Struthio camelus: one gene and its partners. The protein of the gene in region 1 purifies or fractionates together with the protein of each later gene. This does not show direct contact. Links are inferred from orthologs where the notes say so. Each region holds a gene or a part of one and is shown on either strand. Other genes may lie near its edges.

Region 1 (7,835 bases):
GGAACAGGGATTTGGACAAGGAGCCACAACTGTCACGGATTAGTGAGAATGAGCTGTAGCAGGGAAACTAATAGAACCTATTAGATCATAGGTCCAGGTCAGAATCAGTTTCAGATTCTGGCATTCATCTAGCCTCTGTTTCTCTCCTGTCAGCACTTAACTATGAAACCTAAATGCATACAAGTATTCAAGAGCTAGGAAATGCCAAAATTAAAGTTCTCCACAGTCTTGATTACCAGCTTTAGCATCCTGGGTTTTTTGTTTGTTTTTTTTTTCCAGGGAACACTATCTTGTGTATTAAATGATTAGCTGGGCTTTGTTAATACTGCTCTTGTATCTCTCTATACCTGCTCATCTGTCAGAACACTCACTGAAGAGTTGTAAGATGTGATTTAAAAAAAAAAAAAAAAAAAGTGGAAACTTAGTATAACCTTCAGCTTATCCCAAATAGCTGTGAACTGTCAGCTAGGTTACTGAAGATAGCTGAGGGATATCTTTAAGGGTCCTGGGTCTGTTCCTAAGATCTTAACTATACCTATGTTTTCGCGTGATCTGGGACTATCATGGAAATACTTTATTTCATCTTTCTGAGGGGGCAGAGGAAATTTTAAGCGTAAATTCTGGAAGGAGCCTGAATAGCCTCTGAAAAAATCTGAGCCTGATATTCAACTGTCTAATTCTACATGAACTGGAGTGGAAGATGTTGGTTATATTTGATAGACTTTTAGTCTGATTCCATATGATTTTTAAAGTAAATGTCTTTTCCTTTCTGATAAATGTATTTTGGCTCTCTAGAAAGCAGGAGGTTTTGCCAAGGTAGAATGCTGGTTTTTAAATCTTCAAAGATTTTATTTTTCTTTTAATGAAGTTTTTCAGCACCCACTGAGCAGGGTGCAGATGGTAAATGTACTTACCATAAAAAATGTTGGAGTACAACCTGTGTCTGATCTTTATAGAGTTGCTATGCTCTTTCTTTCAGTTGCATCCTCTTTGCAATTTAAAGTACCCATCTCTAACTGTGCTCTCATCCACTATGGATTTTCCCTGTCAGCAGGGTTCTCTGCTGCATGTAGAACTCAATTGCAGTACTGAATTTGAAGCCTCTCCAGTAAAGACGACCATAAATTCCAACAAGTATGTAGAAGAGTAGGAAAGGCTGATAATCAGTTCAATTGGCTCTTAAGATCCAGAGTCTTCATCCCTCTTTAAAAAGTTTTAAAAGTCTTTGCAATTTTTTGACTCTCTTTGATTTTAGTGAGAAATATCTGGAAAATGCTCATCTCCATGAGACTGTGGTACAGGCCATAATCACATTGTTCAGTATATGAGACTTGCCTTTAGTTTGAAAACGTTTTTACTGTTATCTATAAAGTGCTTGAGAAAAGTGGCTAACACAAGTATTTTGTTCAGAGCATGTTATATTAAATCTACGCAAAGAGCAACAAACTAAGAAAAGGGGTATAACTACTTTTTCTTGAGAAGTGGAATATTTTTCAAGTTAAAGCAAACATCAGCTGCTATTAAAGTTAACTTCTGAAAGCATCTTAAAACGTTTATTGTGCTCCCCTGTTATCCTCTGCAGAATCTCTGCTAACAGCTGGCAAACTTGGGTTTAACAGTTACCTTACAATAGCAAAAATGAAGACTTAAGTGAACCCTGACCTGGGGTGGTTTTACCTTCCCGCCCCCATTCAGTGCTGTCTTCAGGAGTAATGACGTCCCCACATCTCAAGGAACGAAATACAGGAGGACTAATACCAAAATATCAGCTCTTACGGAAAGCTACAGCCAAACTGGATAAATTCCTGCTTTTTCTTGAGGTTTTCACTACAACTCCCCCCCCCCCCCCCAAAACCGCAACAAGATTATGTCAGAAGAAGCCATGACTTTCCCCCAGGCCAGTCAGAGCAGAGGCAGATAAAGCGAAGCCTCGTTGCTTGTTGCAGAGCGGCGGCAGTCAGGAAGGCACCTCACCGGATTACCTGGGCCCTCGTGGAGCGAGGACGGGGGTTTAGTCAGGCTGCCGAGTGCTGGCGTTGCCCTCGGGGCCTTAGGGCCGCGCAGGAGGAGACCGAGGGGCTCCCTCGAAAGTCCCGCTGCCGTTCCTGCCCCGCGGATGAGGAAGACGGCAGCGGGGGCTGCCTCAGCTAAGAGCTCAGCCGCCGCCGCCTCCCCCAGCGAGAGGAGGAGCAGCGGCAGGGCCCCCGTTGCCGCCCAGGTGCCTTCCCGAGCGGCTCGGCGGGTAGGTAAGCTTTGCCCTGGCGCTGAGCGGCTGCGGGACCGAGGCCCCCGGCGAGCTGCTGCAGCAGCGCCTCTCGCCCGGCGTTATCGTGCTGCGCGGGGCCCGCCCCTCCCCTCTCCCCCTCCTTTGGGCCCCCGTAACGGCGCGCCGCGCCTGCGCGCTCCGCCCGCCTGACTCACGGGCCGGCGCGGGAGAGGCGGCTGTGGTGGCGGCGGCGGGCGCATGCGCGGGCGGAGGTGTGGCGGGGGGAAGGTGCCCGCCCTGCGGCTTGCCGTGGCGCGCTGGCGGCGCAGGCGCGGCGGCGCGGGCTCGCGGAAGGTAGCGGGGTTTCGGCGTCGGCCGATTCGCTGGGCGCGAGGTCCGCGGCGCCCCGCCCCTCCCCTCTTCTCCCCCCCCCCCCGCCCCCCCCGCCCCGGCGGCGCCGCGCTCCGCGATGTGGCCGTGCCCGCCGGCGGCGGCGGTGGTGGCGGCGGCAGCGGCGGCGCGCGCGCGGGCTTGAGGGCGCCGCCGCCGGAGTTGCTGCGTCCGCCAAGATGGCGTGCGTGCTGGAGGCGCCGCTCCGCATGAGCGTCCTCTCGGTGAGTGCCGCGCGGCCCGCCCCGCCCCCGCCCCCGGGCCCGGCCTGACCTTGGCCTTCGCGGCGGCCCCGCTTTGTGTGCGGGGTGAAGGGGGGGGCCGCGGGCCGGGCGGGCGGCTTTCCCCCGGGCCGCTGCCGTGCCGCCCTGCCGGGGCGGCCCCCGGCCGCTTCCTGGAGAGTTCGGCTCGTCTGACAGTGAAACGCGCCCGGATTTAACCTTTAACGAAGGGGTTTTCACCTCCCTTTTGGGTGGGGGGGGGGGCGGCTCGGCGTCTGCAGGCGCCCCGCCGTGAACCTCCCGGGCCCGCGGCAACTCGCGGCCGGCGAGCGGAGCCGCAGCGCCGAGCGGCCGCGTGGGGGAACGGCGGCGGTGTGGGGGGGCGGGGGGCTGTCCGGGGCCGAAACGCCGGTCGTGTGCCCTCCTGGCCGCGCTGCCGCGGCCCCCGCTGCGGGGAGGGCGCCGGTGCCCGGTGCCCGCCTCCCACGGCCGCCGGCGCCGCGGGGAGGCACAGCGCCCAGGGCTGCAGCGTGGCTGCTCCTCGGAGAGCTTAAGGGCTTCTCTGGCTGCGGTTTGCTGCTAGCTAAGAGGACCCTGAGACTATGATAACGTCAATAAATTTCTTTTTTCCCCGATACTTTTTTTTTTTTTTTTGGAAAAACTTGTTTGGCTGCATATGACCGACCTTCTTCACCAGGCTACAGATCTAATAGTCAGTAGGGTGAAAGCCGGGATGTGTTAGAAGCAGGAGGTCTGAAGTCCAAAATATTTTTTTTGCGTATAAACATATAGACCTGGCAGGTGAAAGCCCGCTGCTGTTCTCAAAAACGCTGTCCTTGGTTACGTGGTGAAAGCTGAACTGAAAGCAAATTTATTTGGCAGAACGTAGTAGTACTCTTGGAGGCAAGACGCCTGCAGTCTCTAGATGATTCTTTTTCTCTCAGACTTGTGTGGGACTACAGGCAAGAAGCTGCTGGCACCTCCAGCATCTGGAGGGGGAGGCAGGAGCAGGCTTAGTCCAAGTGTAGATGCTCCCGAAAGCGAGGAGGACTTTACAGCTTCCTTATAGCTCCTTTCAAGGAAAACTCGTAAGGGGAAAACAGGAGAAGGCTCGTAGAAGGTTGAGCAGGCAAAAAGAACTGAGACAGCGGAGAGGCGCTCTGGCACGTGTTCATGAGAACCTGGAGGGAAAATTCCCTTGCCTTTTCCCACCCTTCTCTTCTGGAATGCTTTCCTTCTCCAACTTTGGAGCTTCTCAGAGAGAATGACAGATCACTGGTGCATAAGCGTTTAACTTGCAAGCACGGTCCTGTTGCCGAGAGGAGAGTTAGTTCACTTTGTGTTATAGAGTAGCTAGGGGAATGTTATGGAGGGTGTTGTGCTGCTGTCCGTGTTGGAATTGTGGGGACCAGTTTATAGAAGGACAGAGTCTCTGAAACATGTAAATATTTCCAATAAGGTAAGTTTCAGAAAAATGTCTCAATACAAGCTTCCTTATTTTTGAGAGTTCGCTTGTGGGTATGCTTCTTGAGCAACGTTAACTGTTCTTAAGAACTTTTTCTGTAAGGGATTTTCTGCTTATGTAGTAATTACACACAATAAAATTGAAGTGAAGACAGGACTGATGCCTCAAGTAGACCCCTTCTTGCATGACCTATTCATAAATATTTAAATACGTGGAGGTGCTCCATTAACTTGCTTTGACTCATAACATGGATATCCACATTTAGGTAAATCTTATTCTTTAAATCACATTTAAACACAAGGTTAATTCCTTGTGTGGGTGTTGCCCAGCAGTAACATACTGCACGTAAATATGATTCTGTGTTTTTGCTGATATCTTGCCTGGTAGGTTTTGTAGACTTGCTGCTTTTTTAGTCATTCCTTTTTGTCTGCCATTATATGAGTTGATGTAAATTATTAAAAAATATATATATATATATATTTATTTCTCTGCAGGAAGTAACGGCCAGTAGCCGCCACTATGTTGACAGATTATTTGACCTCGATCCCCAGAAAGTCCTGCAAGGTGTCATGTAAGTCATATGAAACAAATTCAAACTGTTGTTGTACCTAGGCTAAGTTTGCTTGAATTCTAGTAGTGTGATATGTCAGTGGAAAGAGATTCTTCCCATCTTTTTAGATAAATCTTGTTGGAAAACTCGCTATGTGAATTTTCCTGCAAACATGAGAATGTTGTTTTAGCATACTATCACTTTGTGGTGCATAGGGTTAGTACCCCAGCCTCCCAGTTGCTAGAAATGAGGTAAAACATTCTGTGAGCATTCAAATTTATTTTTGATACTTTTCTTCCTTCTGGCCTTTTCCTTTTGTTCCGTTTCCAGGTCTGATGAGAATTTTTTCTCTTATTTCACTGCCAAGTCAGCATACTTGCCTCTTCAGCTGTTTCCCCTGCCATCATGCCTGGAGTGTTGATTTTTTTGGATATGACTTCTGTCTCATCAAAGGGAATTGAGAGCTGAAAGAAAATGCTTCTATAGAAATTAATTTAGATATAACTTATGTTTCAGTATGTCTGTTGCATACCAGTGACAGGAGGTAATGGCTGAAAAATTCAGTAGAAGACTCTCGCTAGTGAGCGCATAGTAAAATTGGTGCAAAGATCTAGTTGTTTCCTTACTGTCCTTGAGCTATAAGCTTTCCGTTATATTCACACGGGGATGTGGCACACAAGTCCTTGCCTAGGACTGACTTTTAGTGGTGAAACCAGGCTTTCTCAGGCTTACGTGTAACTTGCTAGCAGTGGCTAACTAGCAAAGTGCTAGAAGACATTGAAGCCCTAAGTGGATGAAAAAGCCAAGAATGTTGGGTTTCATTGCTCATGGACAGTCTGAGGTGTTTCCAATAGCAGATGAGCAAAGTCACTCTGGAAAGCGTCCCAGGGAGGGAGTAGGGAACATATCAGAGTCAAGTATCCCTTTGAAATGCCTGAAAAACCCAGCCTGTATAAAACTATCTTGGATTTTTTTGTTGTTGTTGTTGAAATATCCTTTTGTTACCTGTATAAAACCTTCTGGTCCTCCAGTGTAAATATTTACAGGTTCTTAACTGTTCCCTGTGGAAAAGTTTGGCTTTGTTTCTGCTTCTTGGCCTTCTTAGTCCACTGCTCACAAAAGTGAGTTGGATGTTCCCAGGGGCAAGGATGTGTCTCATCCTGTGTGCAAGTGGGCTGACTGAGCCCCCTCTTTTCTCCTCGGCAGATGCTCTGAGCGCTGGGTGGTGCTCCCTCCCTGCGGTCCTTTCTTTTCAAAGAACTGTGGAACCCCAACCCTTGGGAATCCCTTCCCTATCTTTTGAGTTGTTATTCGCATCTTCTGAAGTTTAAGCAAAGAGTTTTCCCAGAAACAAAAATCTTAAGCGGTCTCTTTGTCTCAGCTAGCATCTGCAATGTCAATTGATTTTATGCTGAGCTGCCTTTCAGTTTTAATGTGGTCTAAGAACAGATAAATTGATAAGGGGCAACTATGTAACTGCAGAATATGTCTCTGCAGTTAGAGATCATAAGCTATCCATTTAAAGACAACAGAATACCAATATATTTTACAATAACTTTCTTTTTTGTTTGCCAGCTTGGTTCCTGGCTTCCAATATAAGAGATGTTTTGCTGCTTTGCCTCATGAATTTTTCGTAGCTCACTATTTTGGTCGTTTTATCATGTAGCTTTTTCAGATCATCCTTTTCCTGTGGTACTTGGACATGTCCTTTACGGATCCACTTTGGATCCACTTCTTTTGGATTCTGCTCTTGCTACCGTTTGAATTTTGCTACCATGAAGACCATGTGGCAGTATCTTTGAGGCTGAGCTTGGTGGAGGAGACATTTCTTCTCAAACAAATGCTCTGAGGTTTGGAGAGATTATAAGGGGTGTGAGTAAGAACAGATTTGAAGAAGGAGGTGTCTTTTAAGAATGGATCCGAGTTATTCTAGTTGTTGGAGTAACAGATGCTGCTACTTTGAAACTGCTGAAGGAGTTGCACAGAAGATGCCTTCCCTTTAGACTCAGACCTTTGAAAGTTACAGATCTGACAGGATTAGTGCCCCTGAAGGGTACAGGGGAAAAGGAGGAAAAAGTTACAGGACCGATCCGTGACACTCTGGCTAAGATCCTAATTCTGAGAATCTATCTTTCTTGACACTAAGCAAATCCTGCGTGATGGATTTGTTTTTTCCTGAATATGGGTGGATGGATGTGATACAGTCCAGTTCAGAATAGTGTATATAGTCTCTAACAAATTCTGTCAGTCCAAGATTCTCCTCAGGCAGACAAGAACTACTTTGCCCTTCTTCCTTTGACTTCAGGGTATCTGAAAAAGGTATTCAACCTGGAATGAACTGATGCTAGGGGGAGGTGGGGAGAAGGGGATTAAAGTCCCATCAGAAGTGTCTGTCAGAAGCTTTGCCAAGTGTTCTGCATAATTCACTGAAAATCTTTGGTTCCTAAGATGTGCTGTTTTTCCTGCATCTTGGCTGAAAATACTGATGACCTAGATTTTTATTTTGATTGATGGAACTGTATGAATATCGAGGACCAGGAAATAGGCTGTCTTGAGAGGGTTTGTTTCTGCAGATTGTCTTCAGGTGCAGTAGTTCTGTTCTTCACCTGGTATTAAGGAAACCTGGAAGAATAACTTGAGTTTGGGCCTTTTCTTTTATTGCACTCTTGTACATTTTAATGAAATCTAACTTCTGAATTAGGCTTGATAAAGGTAAAATGGAGCTAAGTATTTCTTGAACTTGAAAATCATGTCAATGCAGTTGACATTTTGTAACTTGAGAAAGCTCAGGGTTACATATGCTGAAAGGATCTGAATTATCAAATCTCTTATTTCCTTTCCTTCTCTTTTTCTTTTGCCAGACAATGAAGTCTTACCTGCTGAGGAGCTTTTTCCTTTTCCTCCTTATAGGAAAACTGAGAAAGCATTTCCTTTTTGGCTGGTATTGCTGTATGTAGCTCCACTGATCTTCTTTCAAAGTCCCAAGTTCCCTGCAGTATTTCT
Region 2 (7,883 bases), on another chromosome or scaffold:
TCTAGCTGTCTGTAGAAGGCCTCATCTACTTCTTCCTAATCAGGTGGCCTACAGCAAACACCCACAACAACGTCACCCGTGATTGTTCTGCCCATTAATCCTTACCGGTAAGCTCTTAGTCAGCCCCATCGTCCACCCCCAGGCAGAGCTCCGTGCATTTCTGCTGCTCTCTCATATAAAGGATGACTCCCCCTCCTCGCCATCCCAGCCTGTCCTTCCTAAAGAGCCTGTGCCCATCCATTGCAGCATTGCAGTCATGGGAGCTATTATCCCACCCCGTCTCTGTGATGCCAATGAGATCATCGCCCTGCAGCTGCACGCAGATCTCTAGTTCCTCCTGTTTATTCTCCATGCTGCATGCATTAGTGTACCAGCACTTCAGAGAGGCACCCAAGCGTGCCGATTTCCCAGAAAGGGTGTGAGAGGTTTCCCCGTAGTGTTGTCTTGTGGGCACTTCCTTGCCTACATGCAAATACTTGGTGCATCCCCACTTAAGCCCTGTTTTGTTGCTTGTGCGTTCCCTGCAACTCTCTCCCTCCCTGGTAATTCCTTGTTTAAAGCCCTCCTTACCAGGTCGCCCAGCCTGTTGGCAAAGATGCTTTTGCCCTGCTTGGTGAGGGGGATCCCATCTCTCCCAAGTAGACAGCTGTCTTCAAACAGGGTCCCGTGGTCCCAGAAGCCGAAACCTGGTTGGGCCAGCTGTGCAGCCAACTGTGGACTTGCAGCATCAGTCCACTCCTCCTCACACTCTTTCCCTCACTGGCAGGATTGAGGAGAAAAACACCCAGGCCCCATACCGCTGACCACTGCCCCCAGTGCTCTGTAGTCATGTTCGATACGTCCCAAGCTGCCTTTGGCAGTATCGTTGGTGCCACCTGGAAGAGCAGCAGGGGTAATTGTCCCAAGAGTTGGACAAGCCTCGTCAGCCTCTCTGTAACATCCCGGATCCGAGCCCCCAGCAAGCGGCAAACCTCTCTTGATGACAGGTCATGTTGGCAGATGGGAGCCTCTGTTCCCTGCAGCAGGGAGTCACTACCGCCATCCCTCGCTGCGTCGTGTCCTGGCTGGGTGCTGGGGCGAGCGAGGCTCTGGTGCAGGCCTGATGGGGCGAGAGGGTGGTTTGCATCAGGGTAGTTTGTCTTCCTTTTGTGAGAAAGACCCAATTGCACCGCTCCCCGGGAAATGCTGCTGTGGCCCTTCCTCTCCAGATGCAGGGCACTCCATCATGCTCCTCTGCCGCTTTGACTTCAGAAGGCGGTGTGACATTAGCCTGCAGGCTGGGCAGGGCCAGGCCATTTGGGTGCCCAGCACTGAAAAACATGGATGTCGTAATCAGTCGGAGGCTGGTCATGGCACCGTTGGCAACGGTGCAGGGGAAAAGCAGGCAGCAGCACCAAGGAAGGGGCCGGTGCCTGGGGTGCCTGGGCATGGCATCACCTCTGCCGCAGCCCCACGACACCCATGGGACACGGCCTAACGAGGAGTGCCTTCACCCCCTGGTTGCCGTGGCCCAGGAGTTGTCGGGAACGGAGGTAGAGCAGGCTTAGCCCTGGGGGATCACATGGGGCCACGGGACAAGATACAGCCACGAGACGCTCAGGGCCCCAGGGCACCCCGCTGCGAGAGGGGCCCAGCACGAAGATGCTACGTGCCCACACACAAACGCACGGGCCGGCATTCCTGGTCTCCCTCTCTCACACGTGCACCCCTGCCCTGGGTGCCCTTACCCTGGCTCTGGCTGTCTCCACCTTGCCCTGGGTGTCCCACCTGGCCAGGGTGCCCTCATCCTAGCTCTGGGTGTCCCACCTGCCCAGGGTACCCTCAACCTAGCTCTGGGTGTCCCACCTGTCCGTGGTGTCCTCACCCTGGCTCTGGGTGTCCCACCTGCACAGGGTGTCTCCACCTTGCCCCAGAGGGCAGGGCATGGAGGAGCCCCTTCCCCAACTGTCTGCCCTATCTCCCTCTGCTCCCCATGACTCCCCTTGCCTCCTACAATTCCCCATGGATTCCCCCCCCCTCCCCACAGCTCCCACCCGTCACCGTGGCTCCTCCAGCTCCCCCAATCCCCACAGCTTCCCATAGCTCCCCATGGCTCCCCTAATCCCCACAGCTCCCCACAGCTCCCCCAATCCCTACAGCTCCCCATGGCTCCCCCAATCTTCATGGCTCCTCTCAACTCTCCACAGCTCCCCCAATCCCTATGGCTCCCCACAGCTCCCCATGGCTCCCCCTATCCTCGTGGCTCCTCACAGTCCCCATGGCTCCCCCAATCCCCATGGCTCCCCACAGCTCTCCCCCAATCCTCACAGCTCCCCATGGCTCCCCCAATCCCCACAGCTCCCCACAGGTCTCCCCCAATCCTCACAGCTCCCCACAGCTCCCCCAATCCTCACAGCTCCCCATAGCTCCTCCAATCCCCACAGCTCCCCACAGCTTTCCCCCAATCCCCACAGCTCCCCACAGGTCTCCCCCAATCCCCATGGCTCCCCACAGCTCTCCCCCAACCCTCACAGCTCCCCATGGCTCCCCATGGCTCCCCCAATCCCCACAGCTCCCCATAGCTCCCCAATCCTCAAAGCTCCCCACAGCTCCCCACAACTCTCCCCCAGTCTCCACAGCTCCCCACAGCTCCCCATAGCTCCCCCAATCCCCATGGCTCCGCATGGCTTTCCCTCAATCCCCACAGCTCCCCATGGCTCCCCCAATCCCCATGGCTCCCCATGGCTCTCCCCAATCCCCACAGCTCCCCATAGCTCCCCAGTCCTCATGGCTCCCCACAGGTCTCCCCCAATCCCCACAGCTCCCCATGGCTCCCCCAATCCCCACAGCTCCCCATAGCTCCTCCAATCCTCATGGCTCCCCACAGCTCTCCCCCAATCCCCACAGCTCCCCACAGCTCCCCCAATCCTCACAGTTCCCCACAGCTCCCCATGGCTCCCCCAATCCCCACAGCTTCGCACAACTCTCCCTCAATCTCCACAGCTCCCCATGGCTCCCCCAATCCCCATGGCTCCCCATGGCTCTCCCCAATCCCCACAGCTCCCTGCAGCTCCCCCAATCCTCGCAGCTCCCCCAATCCTCACAGCTCCCCATAGCTCCCCACAGCTCCCCATGGCTCTCCCCCAATCCCCACAGCTCCCCATAGCTCCCCCAATCCCCACAGCTCCCCATGGCTCCCCCAATCCCCACAGCTCCCCACAACTCTCCCTCAATCTCCACAGCTCCCCATGGCTCTCCCCCAATCCCCACAGCTCCCCATGGCTCCCCCAATCCCCACAGCTCCCCACACCCGGCCTGGCAGCCATTTTCCCTGCCGGGGCCACCCAGGGCACGGGGGACCCTCCCAAACCCCCTCGCCCCAGGTGACGAGCCGGAGCCAGGCGCCAGCTCGGTGATGCCGGCTGAGGCAGGAGGGGACGGGACGAGACGGCCGGCACCACCGTCCCCGCCGCCCCGCGGGCGCCGAGCGCGACTCTCCCCGGCTTTACACCCGGCCACGCTCAAAATGGCTCCCCCGGGGCCCCGCCACAGGGCCGAGGCCGGCGGCGGCTCCCCGGCGGGAGGCGGCGCGCCGGCGTCGAGGCTCTGCTTCTCTGGAAGCCTCGTCTCCCCTCATTAGTGGAAAGGCCTCGTTAGCGTGCTACGGACCCGGGCGCAAAGCCCGTTTGGGAAGCCGCCCGGGCGAAAGCCCTACAGAAAGGGCCTCGCGAGCGAACGAGCTGAAAGGCGAATGATTTAAACGGGGGCACGAGGCGGGGGGGGGGGGCACGGCGGGATCTCGTCGCCCTGCTGCCGGGAGGCGACCCGGCCGGAGCTGCCGAGGGACGGGGCCGTTCGGCCAACCCGCGTTTTAAGGATGGTGGCAGCAGCAGCAGGCCCCAAAGGTGGCCGGAGAGCGGGAAAGCCGTGCGGCCAGCTTGTGGGCGAGCGGGAAGGACGACGCGGTGCTTTGCACTGAGGTTACGCTGGCGGTGTCACCGCGGGGCGGCGGCGGCTGCGGGGGGTGGAGGGGGGGGGGGGGGGGAACCAAGTCGCCCCGCCGGGGTCTCGAACCCGCCGCCTCGCCCTTCGCTTTCCGCCTTCGGCAGCCCGCCCTGCCGCACTACAACTCCCGGCAGGCGGTGGGGCGGAGCGCGGCGAGCGGGCGGGGCCGGCGCGCTGCCGTCACGGCGGCGGCGCGGCCAATGGCAGCGGGGCGAGGCGGTGAGGTCACTGTGGGTGACGTCAGGAGTCCAGAGAGAGGCTCCGGCAGAGGCGAGCGGAGCGGAGCGGGGCCGGCGGCTGCGGGAGCGCGAGGCGGCGGCGGCGGCGGCGGCGGCGGCGGCGGCGGCGGCCCCGCCACAGGAGGGCGGCGGCGACAGGAGCAGCAGCAGCAGTAGCAGCGGCGGCGGCGGCAGAGGGGGGGTCCCAGCGGCTCGGAGCCCGGCGCCCCCCCCCCCCCGCTCCCCTCCGCGCCGGGCGGCCCCGGGCGGCGGCGGCGGCGGCGCTGACAGCCCGCCCGGAGCACCGGGGGCGGCCGCGGCCACCATGTCCTCCCCCAGCCCGGGCAAGAGGCGGATGGACACCGACGTGGTCAAGCTGTATCCTTCCCGCACCACCCCTCCGCCGACAGCCCCGCGGGCCTGCACCGGGGAGGGGTGGGGGGGGGCAGCACCGGCCCTCCCCCCCCCCCCCCGGGCAACGGCAGGGCCAGGCCCCCTCCCCGGGGCTCCCTCCCTGCCTGCCTGGGGTCAGACCTGCCCCCCCCCCCGAGGCCCCCCCACACTGTGGGGAAAGCCTCCCCCCCCCCATCCTAAGCCTTGTTTGGGGGCTCCCCGGTTTGACAGCCCGTGGTTCCCCCCCCCCCGAAAAAAAACCCAGCGAGGGCCGCAGCCTGGTGGCTGGCACCCCCTTTCCTGCCCCGGCCTGCGGCCCAGCTGCTTGGGGTTTGAGGGGGGGGGGGAAGCTGCCCCCGCGGCCACAGCCCAGAGAAAGGCTTTTGTGGTGTTTATCTTTATTTACTCCTCGGTTTCAGCCTGCGGTTCACGAAGCTTCTGGTGCTGGGCTTAGGGATTTTAATATTTTGGGGGCTGGAGGGTGCTGCTGGGATTGCCCGTGGCGGCGGGGTGGGAGACGGGCTCAGTGCGGCCCCGGACCCCCGGCCGGTTTTGCGAGCGGTCCCGTTTACGTAACGCTCCAGGTTGGGCTAGGCTTCCCCCCACCCCTTCCTTGATAGATCTGTTTTTATATATATATATATATATTTATTTATTTATTTATATATGTTTTTTTTTCCTCCTCACTCTTCTTGGCCCTTTGCAGGGTGGCAAATCCTTTTCTCTCTGTCTGGAGTGTGGGTGGTATTGAAAATATCGGTGGGGGTTTGGCTATAGGATTGGTTTTGGTTTTTTTTTTTTAATTAATAGTTTTTATGTATTTATTTATTTATTTATTGCTTACAAGGCGGTGGTGTGTGTCGAGGTGGGTAGAAATGACAAGAGCAAGCGAAATGTTTTCGGCTCTGTTTACTGGAGGTGTTGAACCTCTCGGGGGGGACGGTGGCTCTAACTTTGCGTGTGGCGTTGAGGGGTCGGTAAAACAGATCTGATTGAGTTCCCAGAGAGATAAACAAACTTGCTTGGATTTTGTGTTTTTAAAGGGGGGGGGGGGAAAGAAGAGCGATACCGCTCGTGTTTGTGGCGTGAGGGTGGCTTATCAAAGGAAACTTCTGTCGGTGTTTCGTGTGCGTTTCTCTGTACAAAGCTGCTCTTGGTATATTTTCGTGTTGTTTTTTAAGCAAATAGGAAATGACTACCGATCATGGTTGAATCCGAGCTATTTTTATCTGAGGTTTAAAGTTACGCACATGTCACACTCTGCCGAATGCAAATTTCGATCGATGGTTAATTGCGCTGGGAGGAGGGTTGGGAATTCCAGCTGTTTAGCAGGGGGGAAAAAAAAAATCTTCATTAGCCATAGTCTCGAAAGAGGACGGGGCTGAAGAGGGGCCGAGGCCCAACCTGATCTGCTGCTCTCCTTTCCCCTCCCCCTCTTTTTTTTTTTTTTTGTTCATTTAGTAGCTGGCATCTCCAGCGATTCCAGCATTTTAGGAGACAAAGAGCAGGGATTTTTCTTTCTTTTTATTTTTTTTGAAGTGGCTTCACTTGTTCTATATCTCTAGCGGTGGCGGTAGGTAGAAAGCCCCCAAATATTTGGCGTTCCTCCCAACGCTGGGTGGTTTCTGCTCTGCTCTCCCCCCCCCCCCACCCCCCGGCCACCGACAAAAGAAACCAAAGGGTTTTCCAAAAGCAGAGCTCTCGTTATTGTCAGCGCGGCGTCCCTGGTGTCCGAGGGCGAGGGTTAGAGCGGTCGGTGTCCTGCAGACAACAAACTTAGGAAGTTGTCTATGTCAGATGACTCTTCCCTCCACTCCTCCCTCCCCGAGCCTTTTTGTTTGTCCGTCCGACTTGTCTAGCCTGCCCAGGCTGAGTCCGGCTCTGTAGGCCCAGGCTCCCCGGGCGCTTCGCTCCGTGTACGTTGGGAGTCTTCCTGCCTGGGAGCTGATGTGAAATAAGGGTCTGTCGCGAGCCGTGGGAGCGACGGATGGTTTTGGTGGTGACCAAATGAGAGAGGACTAGTCTGGAGGAATGTACTTGAAGGCTGCTCCTCCCTGGGGCTGGATGGTTTTGTTGTTGTGTAGGGTTTTTTTTTTTTTTCCCCCCCCCTTTTGCTGCCATTTTCGTTACAGTTTCCCTTTTCAGCCTCTTTTCATGTCTCCAGTCTAGAATAATGGCGTGGATTTATCGCCTGCCAAGGGCTACCTTTTTGGATAGGGAGGGGGTGACGTTGTGAGTGAATAACGCTGCTGCCTTCTCCTGCTCTGACAGGTTTAGGAGCCGAGTGGGGTCTTTTTTATTATTCCTATTTTCAATCCTAACACGTCCATGTCCTTTTGTGGACGCGTCTTTGTGAGCAGGGAAGGGGAGAGGTTGCTTGGGCTCTCTCCCTGGATGGCTGGTGGGGGGGGGAGCCGTGTGTGTTAATGTGTTGAACCGATGTTTAATAATCGCCCGGGTGATTATGTGCTGAAACTCTGAGTCACTCATTGTCTCTCTCTCTCTCTCTCTCTCTCTCCCCCCGATCGTGCTCCCAACGTTGTGCGAATGTTGGGGAAGGGCCTGCAGCCGGGGTCCGCGCTGCGTTGCCCCCCTCCTTTGGGGGGGGGGGTGGCGGCTGCCATCCCTCTCCCCGATTTCTGAAATTTCCTGGGTTGCTGCGCTCAGTCCCCGGTCCAGCCTGCCGCACGCACCCAGCGGGGGCACTGCCACGAGCCCGGGCACCTCTGCCCCCCGGGGGGGACGCCGGGGATCCCGGTTCGGAGCCAGCCGCTGGCCTCCGAGCCCTGTTTGCAGGCAAGAGGCCTCGGGCAGAGCTCGCAACTCCGCGGATTGGCTGCTCTGTTACTACCCGGAAACCAGGGCCGGGGCGGAGCGAGGCGACAGCTGATGGGGAGCCTGACCCAGCGTGTTTACACCGGCGGGGGGACGTGCCCTGGGGTCCCCCGCGGCCTCCCCAGCCCCGGCTCGCGGGGCCCTTCGGAGCCGCCTGCGGTCATCTCCAGGCAGGGTGTATTGTTCCGCCTTGGGGAGCGGTGTGGGCTCCTCAAGGCGAGCTGTTTGCAGCTTCCCCTTGGACTGGAGTTTATTTTGCATTGATTTATTTCCCTCCTTTTGTGGGTACGTGCTCCTGGCTCGGTCGTAGTCTCCGAGCTCTATTTTTAAGCATCAGGACTGATGTTAGAAAAGGGAAGTGTCACCCTGTTCAGGGCATGAAAGGAATTATAAATAGAGCTCAGCTTCATTTGAATCTCCCTGTTTTGATCGGTTTACAAAGCTGAACGCTTG
Region 3 (8,013 bases), on another chromosome or scaffold:
TTTTCAGTGTACTAATTTACTTTATTTACTAACACTGATACATACTAGGGAGCAGATGTTCTGTAGGAAGCTCCTGGCCTGCAACTAAATAGCATGTAGTTTCAGGTCTGCTTTTTAGCTGTATGGGTCCAATTCTGTCTATAATATTTGGCATGTATGTCCACTCAAGAAGCTGTAGCCAACAGCAACATTTATATGCCTCTCCTTTATCCTCCACCCTTAAAAAATTCCATAATTAATCCACAAAAGTGACATCTAGATATGAAATGCAAGAGTTTGCAGCAACAATCAGCTTTTGTCTCTCTCCATCAAAAAAAAGATTAAAACGACTAGAACTTGCTTAACTTCCTAATAGTTCGGGATGGTCCCTGAGCTTTCAGCAAGGCACTAATGTTCATGAAGTTAGTTAAAGTTTGGATGTTTCATTGGAATACTTCAACTCACCGGAGTCTTCTGTGTCTTGGAAAGAGTGTATTTCAATCTGTTAATATGTGTTTGGCAATCTGGAGTCTCAGAGGAAGATGCAAGAGAGGTCCTGTGCAATGGCAAGAAAGACACATTTCAAAATATACAGAATGAACTAAATACATGGTTCTATCCATGTATGAAGATTGAGAATCTCAGAGGAAGATACACCCAAAATAAACAGCCAGTTATGAACAGATGAAAATACCCAACAGGGTAACATATACAGAGGGACTGATTGAATAAAAAGATGGGTGACTTTGATTATTTGGATAAGGCCCGTAGTACAGCTGAACTCCGGTATTTGCTATTTGATAGCTGGTGCAATGTTTGGTACTGTCCTCACTGTTCCAATAAAAGTAACCATTTGCTCAATCGACTGCCAAGCTGCACTCTGCAGCTGAGCAAGCCTGAATGAATTGGTCTTCTAAAGAGTTAAGATAAGAAATGGTGCTGGAGAAGCTGACTGTGGCCCATGAGTTAAGAATTGGGATTTTGGGTACCCAAAGCGCCTGCAAAGCTAGCCCTCTGGGGTGGCAGTAGTGCCACAGGATAGATGGACCAACAACCAGAGGAACTAGCAAAACACAGAACACGTACAGCCAACAGATACAACCTAGAGCTCTCTTTCCTAGATTAGAAACTGATACGTATAGCAGAATAGGGCTTTTAGGAAGTGAACATATGATTGCATGTGTATTTTAGGAGAAAATTAGGGCTGCATGAAATGGTAAAACAATGCAATATCCAGAGATCACAATGAATTTGTAGAGTCACTTTATTGTACATTGGCACAGCACGATCAGACATTGTTTGATATCCTAAGAATTGGCTTCAGCTGCCAGTATGGTTTCATGCTTGGGTGGGAGTTAGGTGTCAGTGCTTAAGCAGATTTAAGTCACCAGCTCTCTGCTTTTGGAGGGAGGTGAGCGTGGGACGAGCTGAACTAGCTTTCAGAGGAGTCCAACAAGTGCCAGCACAGAGTCAGGGTGGGAGAAAACATCTGGTGAGCTGTTGGATCACCCACCCTAGCTCATAAAATGCCAGCCCCAAGTTGTAGCTCTGTGAAACACAGTAAGTCAGTGTAACAGCCCACCACTGCTGAAGGGGGAAGTTCTGCTCCTCTCTGTACCGCAGCAGGCTCCTAAGGCCTATGTAGTGCTAGCTCTAGTACACGCTGAACACTGCTCTGAGCTGTTTTACTTTGCTAATCCAAAGGAAAACTAACCTGCATCATTTTCTGAGGTTACCAGGTTAGAATGGCTCAAGATATAACATGCAAGTGTACCCTTCAGTGGGGGCAGCTCTCAGAAGGACTCAAGGATCACACGTTGATGAAGGAGGGGAAGGATTCTGTGACTGGCAATGGAAAGGGGAGAGAAACCCCAAGCAGTCGTGTCAGCTCAGTTGCCCAAGGAACCACAGCGTTTGGGTAAGATTCCCTGAGACACAGCGAGCTGATCCTATCAGCTTACCGCTGTCCTGTTCTCCCATCCTGTCTCTTCCTTCTAGATGTATTCTCCTGTAGTTTGCCTTGTGCTGCTGCCAGTGCTCATAGGACCTCCTAATAAGCTGCTTTAAGTCATCAACCCAGCACAAAATTAACCCAAGCTCATCTTTTCAATGCCCAGTGATAATGAAACACAACAAAACAGACATAGAGAACACACTTCATCCTTCTGAGAGTAGTGTACCTGGCCCAACGTGCTTTCATGGCATAACTCCACAAGCATGAGGAAGTAGTGGAAGCTCATGCTACATGCTGAGCCATAAGGAAGCACTGGAAAGGAGGGGTAACTGGGAGCCATGACTGAGAATATCAGATTCCACTAGTAAACAATATCCAGGGATACTCTGGGCCAAGGAGCAGGACAAGTATGAAGTGGCCAACAGTTCACAGAATTGCATGATCTTTTGAAAATCTCCAATATATAACAGATCATTAAGCATATAATAACTCATGTTTTAGAATACGAAGTGCATTTTTCATACATTAAAAATATTATTCCTAGCTATCTGGAAATGCCATGATACTATTTTATATTTGCAGCTAAACTCACTAACAGTTTTATAGTCAAAGTAGCGAGCACCCTCTACTTCTATCCACTTTTGGAACAGCTGAGTGCACTAACCACCTGAGAGCATATGCTTCGTTTTCTCTTGCAGGATGGGATCTTAAAGACAATGGCAGTCCAATCAGCCACATCAGTCAGGAAAGCAAGCAGTGTGCTACCAGACAGGAATGTGACAGGTTTTCACTTTCCTGACAAAAGCAAGGGTTCTCAGACTATGGGATGGCTCATGTTTGGATATGGAAAGATGCCTGTTCTCAGGTGCTATGATTATTTTTAGGAAGCCTACCTTAACAAAGTGAAAAGAGAAGGGTCTAGGACTTCTCCCATGAGTGGCATTGATTGCTACTTGGACTGTGGTACAGACAGTCTGGATTTGGAACTGAAGGCTTTTTCAGCATTGTGAAAGTTAGTAAAATTAAAGCAAGAAAAACTTGCTCATTGGATAAAACTTCCGTCTCATATTGCTGTTCATAGCGGAGCCCTCAAACAGAAAAGGCAGTGATAGTGTGCTCTTGGACTACCTGCATTATCTGAGTTTGAGATCCAAAGATAAAAATCTATCTGTTGGTATAAAATAAGCCTTCACCTTCCTCTGCCAGGATATACAGAGAAAAGTTGACTTGGCCAAGAATAGCCCAGAATTTTCCTTTTGAGGCTGTCCAGTCGGCTGTTAGGGCATCCAAAGCACCAATAGGCCTTAATTACCCTGATCAGCATCCCCTGGGACCACCACTCGCACACCCTCTGCCTGTTGGTCCAGAAGCTCCATTTAAGCTCAGGCCTGGGCCTTCAATCCCTTGCTTGTACTGTGCTATAGTTGTGCCTGTCTTCAGCCCTGTCTGCTGGATACACGTTGGACCTATGCTATAAGCTTGTCTCCAGCCAGTCTCTTACTCACTCTCCTGCTGCTCTTGACTGGACCCCATGGCTGGACCTTGTACCTGATTCATCACTCTGCTTCATCTGGGACTACAGAAGGATCCTGCTGTCAGCATCCTTCTTTGGGTGCTGTGGGACCACACCTGGTCAGTGAGGGCCCTGCCTGTGCTGTAGTCACCTTGGGCACCTGGCTCACCCTCCCTTGTGGAGCAGTGCTGCTCTGGCTGCTCCCAGGCACTCTCAGAAGGTAGGCAAAGGGTAGCCTGCAGAACGAAGAACCACATGCTTGAAGACCAGCATAATCTTTCAAAAAAAAAAAAAAAGAAGAAGAAGAAGAAAGAAAACAAAGGAGACCTCTTTCTCGTTATTCTCAAATATTGAAACTAACTGGAATAAGGCTTTAACAGTAGAGGCAGATATTTAGATAAAGTAGTGGTAAGAAAGAGGCATTATTTTCCAAAAAAAAAAAAAAAAAAACTTAGCTATGAGCAGTAACATTTGCAAAGTAACTACTAAAACAATCACTCTAGAAGTTCCTTCTTTTATTGTCTATGTGGCTCTTACTAGAAAAATGCTATATACTGAAGTCCTAAGAGCAATTTTTACAAGTCTTCTTCACTGTTTACTTATACTTGCTGAACTGTTAGTGCAGACAAGTGAATTCATCCCGCCTATGGCCTAACTTCATGCTCATTTTACACAGGCGGAGCGCTGCAGAAGCTGTCTCTGTAGCACCCGCGGGTTGCCCCAGACTCTGCGCCTACACGCGTTACAGGGAAGGGAGGTACTACGGCCTCGGGGAAGGAGAAGGGCTCTGCTCAGCTGTCGCCGAGGAGAGGGCGGACGCCGGCACTCGCTGCCCGCCCTGCCTGCCTGCCCGGCCCGGCCCGGCCCTTACCCGCCCGGCGGAGTGCGGCGCCCCGCCATAGCTTGCACTGTCCGCGCTGTTTACACGCGTCGCCATGGAGAGGCGCCCGGCCCCCCTCAGGACGCCCCCACGCGCCGCCATAGCTGCCCCGGCAACGCCTGACGCACTGGTGCGCCCGCGAGCCGCGGCAGTTCCGGAGCGGCCCGGGCCAGGGCCCGGCGGAAAGAGGGCTCTGTGAAGAGACCGGGTCCAGCACGAGGCCGCTGTAACAGCACTACCGCCCTCTTGGCGGAGCGGCTGCTACCAACCCCTACACGGAGGCGACAGCAGGACGCCAGTAAGCGCGCGACAACCCCTTAGGACCGCGCCACTGCAGGGCCTGCTGGGAGCGAAAGTCTGGCACTGCCTCTTAACTCAGAGAGCACCGGCCGTGCAGCCTCTTTCACTGTGCAGTCAGGATTGCTTCCGCCATGGGTCTCCTGCACTGCTAATGAACAGAGGATTTGTGTTTCTGTACTGCTGAGATTTCTTTTTTTCCTGCTCTGAATAGGTTCAGGACTACCATGCTCACGCGCGCCCGGCAAAAGGGGACTCTCTTCCCAGGCTGCAGCGCGCGGAGAGGTGTAGTGGGGCCTGGAGCGCGGGCTCTTTAGGGACTTGTAGTCCCAGCTAGCAGTGAGCGGCGGCGGCGGCGAGAAAGAGAGAGAGAGGACGGACTCCGGTTCCCGTCGGGCAGCGCGGCCCTATTGTGGCCGCTCTCGCACGCTATTGGCTAGCGGCCGGAAGCGGGCCTTGCTCCCCGCCCGGTGACACAAAGCGAATCCAAGATGGCGGATGCGGGCGCGGGGAGCCTGCAGGGGGGGGACTTGGGGTTGTCGTGCTCGCCCGAGGAGCAGGAGCTGAGCCAGCGCCTCCGCCGCCTCTACCCTGCCGTCAATCAGGAGGAGACGCCGCTGCCACGATCCTGGAGCCCCAAGGACAAGTACAACTACATCGGCCTCTCGCAGGGCAACCTTCGCGTCCACTACAAAGGTGCCAGGCTGGAGCTGCGGGCCGGGTTCGGCCTGGAGCGCGGCCCTGCCCCTGCCTTCGGCCCCGGCCACTCTGCTGGCGCAGCGGGGCGGCAGGCCAGGCCAACAGTTCGGGCCTCCCGTGGGCGGGCAGGGCGGCCGTGGCCACAACTCTGACTGCCGCAGTCCCGGGCCTCCCCCAGGGGCAGAGGTGCCGCGGCCGGGGAGCGGAACAGGGTGGAGGGGCCGCGGGGCTTCTGCCACGTCTGTGGGGCGAGCAGGTCAGCGGTGGTGCTGTGGCTGGGTTTAACCCCGGACCGGGTCTTTTCTGGGGCAGGGAGGCTGATGCACCCTTGAGCTGAGGGCTTTTTTCCCGACAGTGTGTTGTGCCATACATAATGCTTTACAGTGTCACTAAACGGGGTGTGGGCCCATCTGTGTAGCTGGATCTTCTATTCACTCTGTTATGCTACTTAAAATCTGGCCAAGGAGATGGATGAAGTGGACGCATTGCATAACTGTGGCTTTTGCTACATGAGTTTATACAAAATAGACGCTCTCAGACTTCTTAGACTTGGGAAATCACTTTGATGTTTTTCTTTATTGCTATTGGAGACTGTTCTCCCTACTCCCCCCCCCCCCCCCCACACACAGAAAACTGTTCATACCTTTTCTTACCTGGCTGGTAAATACAGATGTAATTCCTATTTTGCATAATCTGTTTGTTTTCTGTTTGTATACATTGATTTTTAAACAACATATGTGGGAAGGGGGTGAGGTAGTACCTCAGTACCTTTAGAGTGGAAACAAAGGAAAAAACCATAGTGCTCATAGCGTAGGAATTGTACATGGTGGCAATGCAGAGTTGTATATTTTATTTCTCTGAAAAAAACAGCTTTTAATTTTTGAATATATGCAGAAATGGATCTCTGCTGCATTCAGATAGTGGTGTTTTAGAACAAAACGTGAGAGACTTCAAATCCTCTAAGTACTTAAATTTCTGTTCTCTCCTAGGTCATGGTAAAAATCATAAGGATGCTGCCTCAGTCAGGGCTACACACCCCATACCTGCAGCTTGCGGCATTTATTACTTTGAGGTGAAGATTGTCAGTAAAGGTAGAGATGGGTAAGTACGGTATTCCAATTTGATTTGAAATACACATCACGTTTGGGGATGTGTATTTAGCAACTCTGCTGTGCTCAGACCTGCTTTCTGGAAGGGTTACGGGTCATATGGCTGTTGGTTATCACAGGCAGGTATATCATTGGGAGGTTGATTAATAGATGTGAAGGTGGTAGAATGCACTGGATTCAGAGGCACTTATGCAGTTTTTTTATCTGCTGTTTGATATGGACAGTTGTAACAATTTAAGAGTTTTGGGTCTCCAGTGCAATTTGAGTTACAATAGTTTTTTTTTCTTGCTAACTAGGTCTGGTCACTCAGATTCCTGGACCTGAAAAGGAAGTATTATGGTGTCACAGAGATGACCTAGGAACCTAGCCCAGATAAATTCATGACAGATGGAGGAAATGCTGCTTTTTAATTTTCTCCTGCAGTGGGGGATGAACATGTTGTAACCCAAACTATTTTCATGGGCACATTTCTATTGAAACGTGGATAGATGTTGGATTTAGTATTTACGTAGACAGGAGAGAGTGAAGGAGGTATGCAAAGAAAGAGAAATGAGGTATTTCCAAATATAGGCTGAAACTTCTGTCATCTTTTGTCCAGGACTTGAATTTGGACTTGGAGTCATTTTCTAAGAGTAGATTGCAACACAGAGTATTTTGGCAGATAACAACTGTGCAAGCTTGGGAGACTGTGTTGGTAACAGAATGCTAGATATGAGAATGTTTTTCCAAACTTGATCATTGTTTTTATGACAGTATTTAATATTTTAGGCTGACTTTGAGACTACATTTGCCATATCAGTCCTTATTATTTAGACCAGTAGCAACTAGAGGAATTGCAAAAGCAGCAAGTCCTGTCAGTAGCATTAGAAGCAGCATGGAAACAGCTCAATTACTCAATTAAGAAGCACTCACTGTACTGGCAGTGAGTTTTGGATCTCATCCAGACTTGCAGTGACTGAATTGAGTGTTCTGTTCCAAAATATAACAACCAGGTTGAATGTGAAGTTCCTTTATATCCTATCAGGATGTTTGGAAACTTGAGAAAATAATAAAGGGGTATTACCAACAAGATTTGGGCTTCTGCTGCCTGTATAGATGATTTTTAACCATAAAAAAGATACCAACCAGCTGTGTGTGCGTGTGTTTTTTTTTTTTTTTTCATTGCTAAAGGATGAACATCACAAATACAACCATGCAGAAAGGAGGGTGCTAAGTATAATTCGTTAATCCAGTCCTCTAAGAAAACAGGTTGAACTCTGGGCAATTTAGGGGCCTGAGGAAAGGTCAGCAAGGATTCCTAGTAGACGCCAAATTACAGATGTAATTTCTTATTATTGAAATTTTTTACTGTCCTTGTTAATTGAGAAGTGGCCTATTTAAGAAGGAACTTGCTAAGGGTCTTGAATTGTGTTGCATTGTCTTTGTAATACTGGGCATAAATTTTTATCTCTCCAGAGGTGAGTGCTGGGCTGAACGCTTTACAAATGCAGGGAAAAGACTATCTCTGTTCTTTCAGTTCACTGACTCTATGTTTAACTGCTTATCTGTTTTGAAACCCCACACTTGATTTGTTTATGTAACT

Evidence for each region. Proteins that work in one complex are often made in the same cells at the same time.
Region 2: the proteins of ARMC8 (region 1) and UBE2H purify together in Homo sapiens (affinity purification with mass spectrometry; 3 studies listed by BioGRID and IntAct, with this or other methods). This does not show direct contact. The link is inferred for Struthio camelus from reciprocal best matches to the Homo sapiens genes ARMC8 and UBE2H.
Region 3: the proteins of ARMC8 (region 1) and RANBP10 purify together in Homo sapiens (affinity purification with mass spectrometry; 5 studies listed by BioGRID and IntAct, with this or other methods). This does not show direct contact. The link is inferred for Struthio camelus from reciprocal best matches to the Homo sapiens genes ARMC8 and RANBP10.

The regions. Positions count from the first base shown.
Region 1 is NC_090950.1:5,470,593-5,478,427, reverse strand, and holds the start of ARMC8 (armadillo repeat-containing protein 8), read left to right. Parts: upstream 1-4,065; 5' UTR 4,066-4,183; coding exon 4,184-4,276; intron 4,277-4,776; coding exon 4,777-4,853; intron 4,854-7,835. UniProt on the Homo sapiens protein: Component of the CTLH E3 ubiquitin-protein ligase complex that selectively accepts ubiquitin from UBE2H and mediates ubiquitination and subsequent proteasomal degradation of the transcription factor HBP1.
Region 2 is NC_090942.1:1,892,889-1,900,771, reverse strand, and holds the start of UBE2H (ubiquitin-conjugating enzyme E2 H), read left to right. Parts: upstream 1-4,444; 5' UTR 4,445-4,527; coding exon 4,528-4,580; intron 4,581-7,883. UniProt on the Homo sapiens protein: Accepts ubiquitin from the E1 complex and catalyzes its covalent attachment to other proteins. E2 ubiquitin conjugating enzyme that transfers ubiquitin to MAEA, a core component of the CTLH E3 ubiquitin-protein ligase complex.
Region 3 is NC_090951.1:24,214,820-24,222,832, reverse strand, and holds the start of RANBP10 (ran-binding protein 10), read left to right. Parts: upstream 1-4,574; 5' UTR 4,575-5,114; coding exon 5,115-5,319; intron 5,320-6,311; coding exon 6,312-6,423; intron 6,424-8,013. UniProt on the Homo sapiens protein: May act as an adapter protein to couple membrane receptors to intracellular signaling pathways.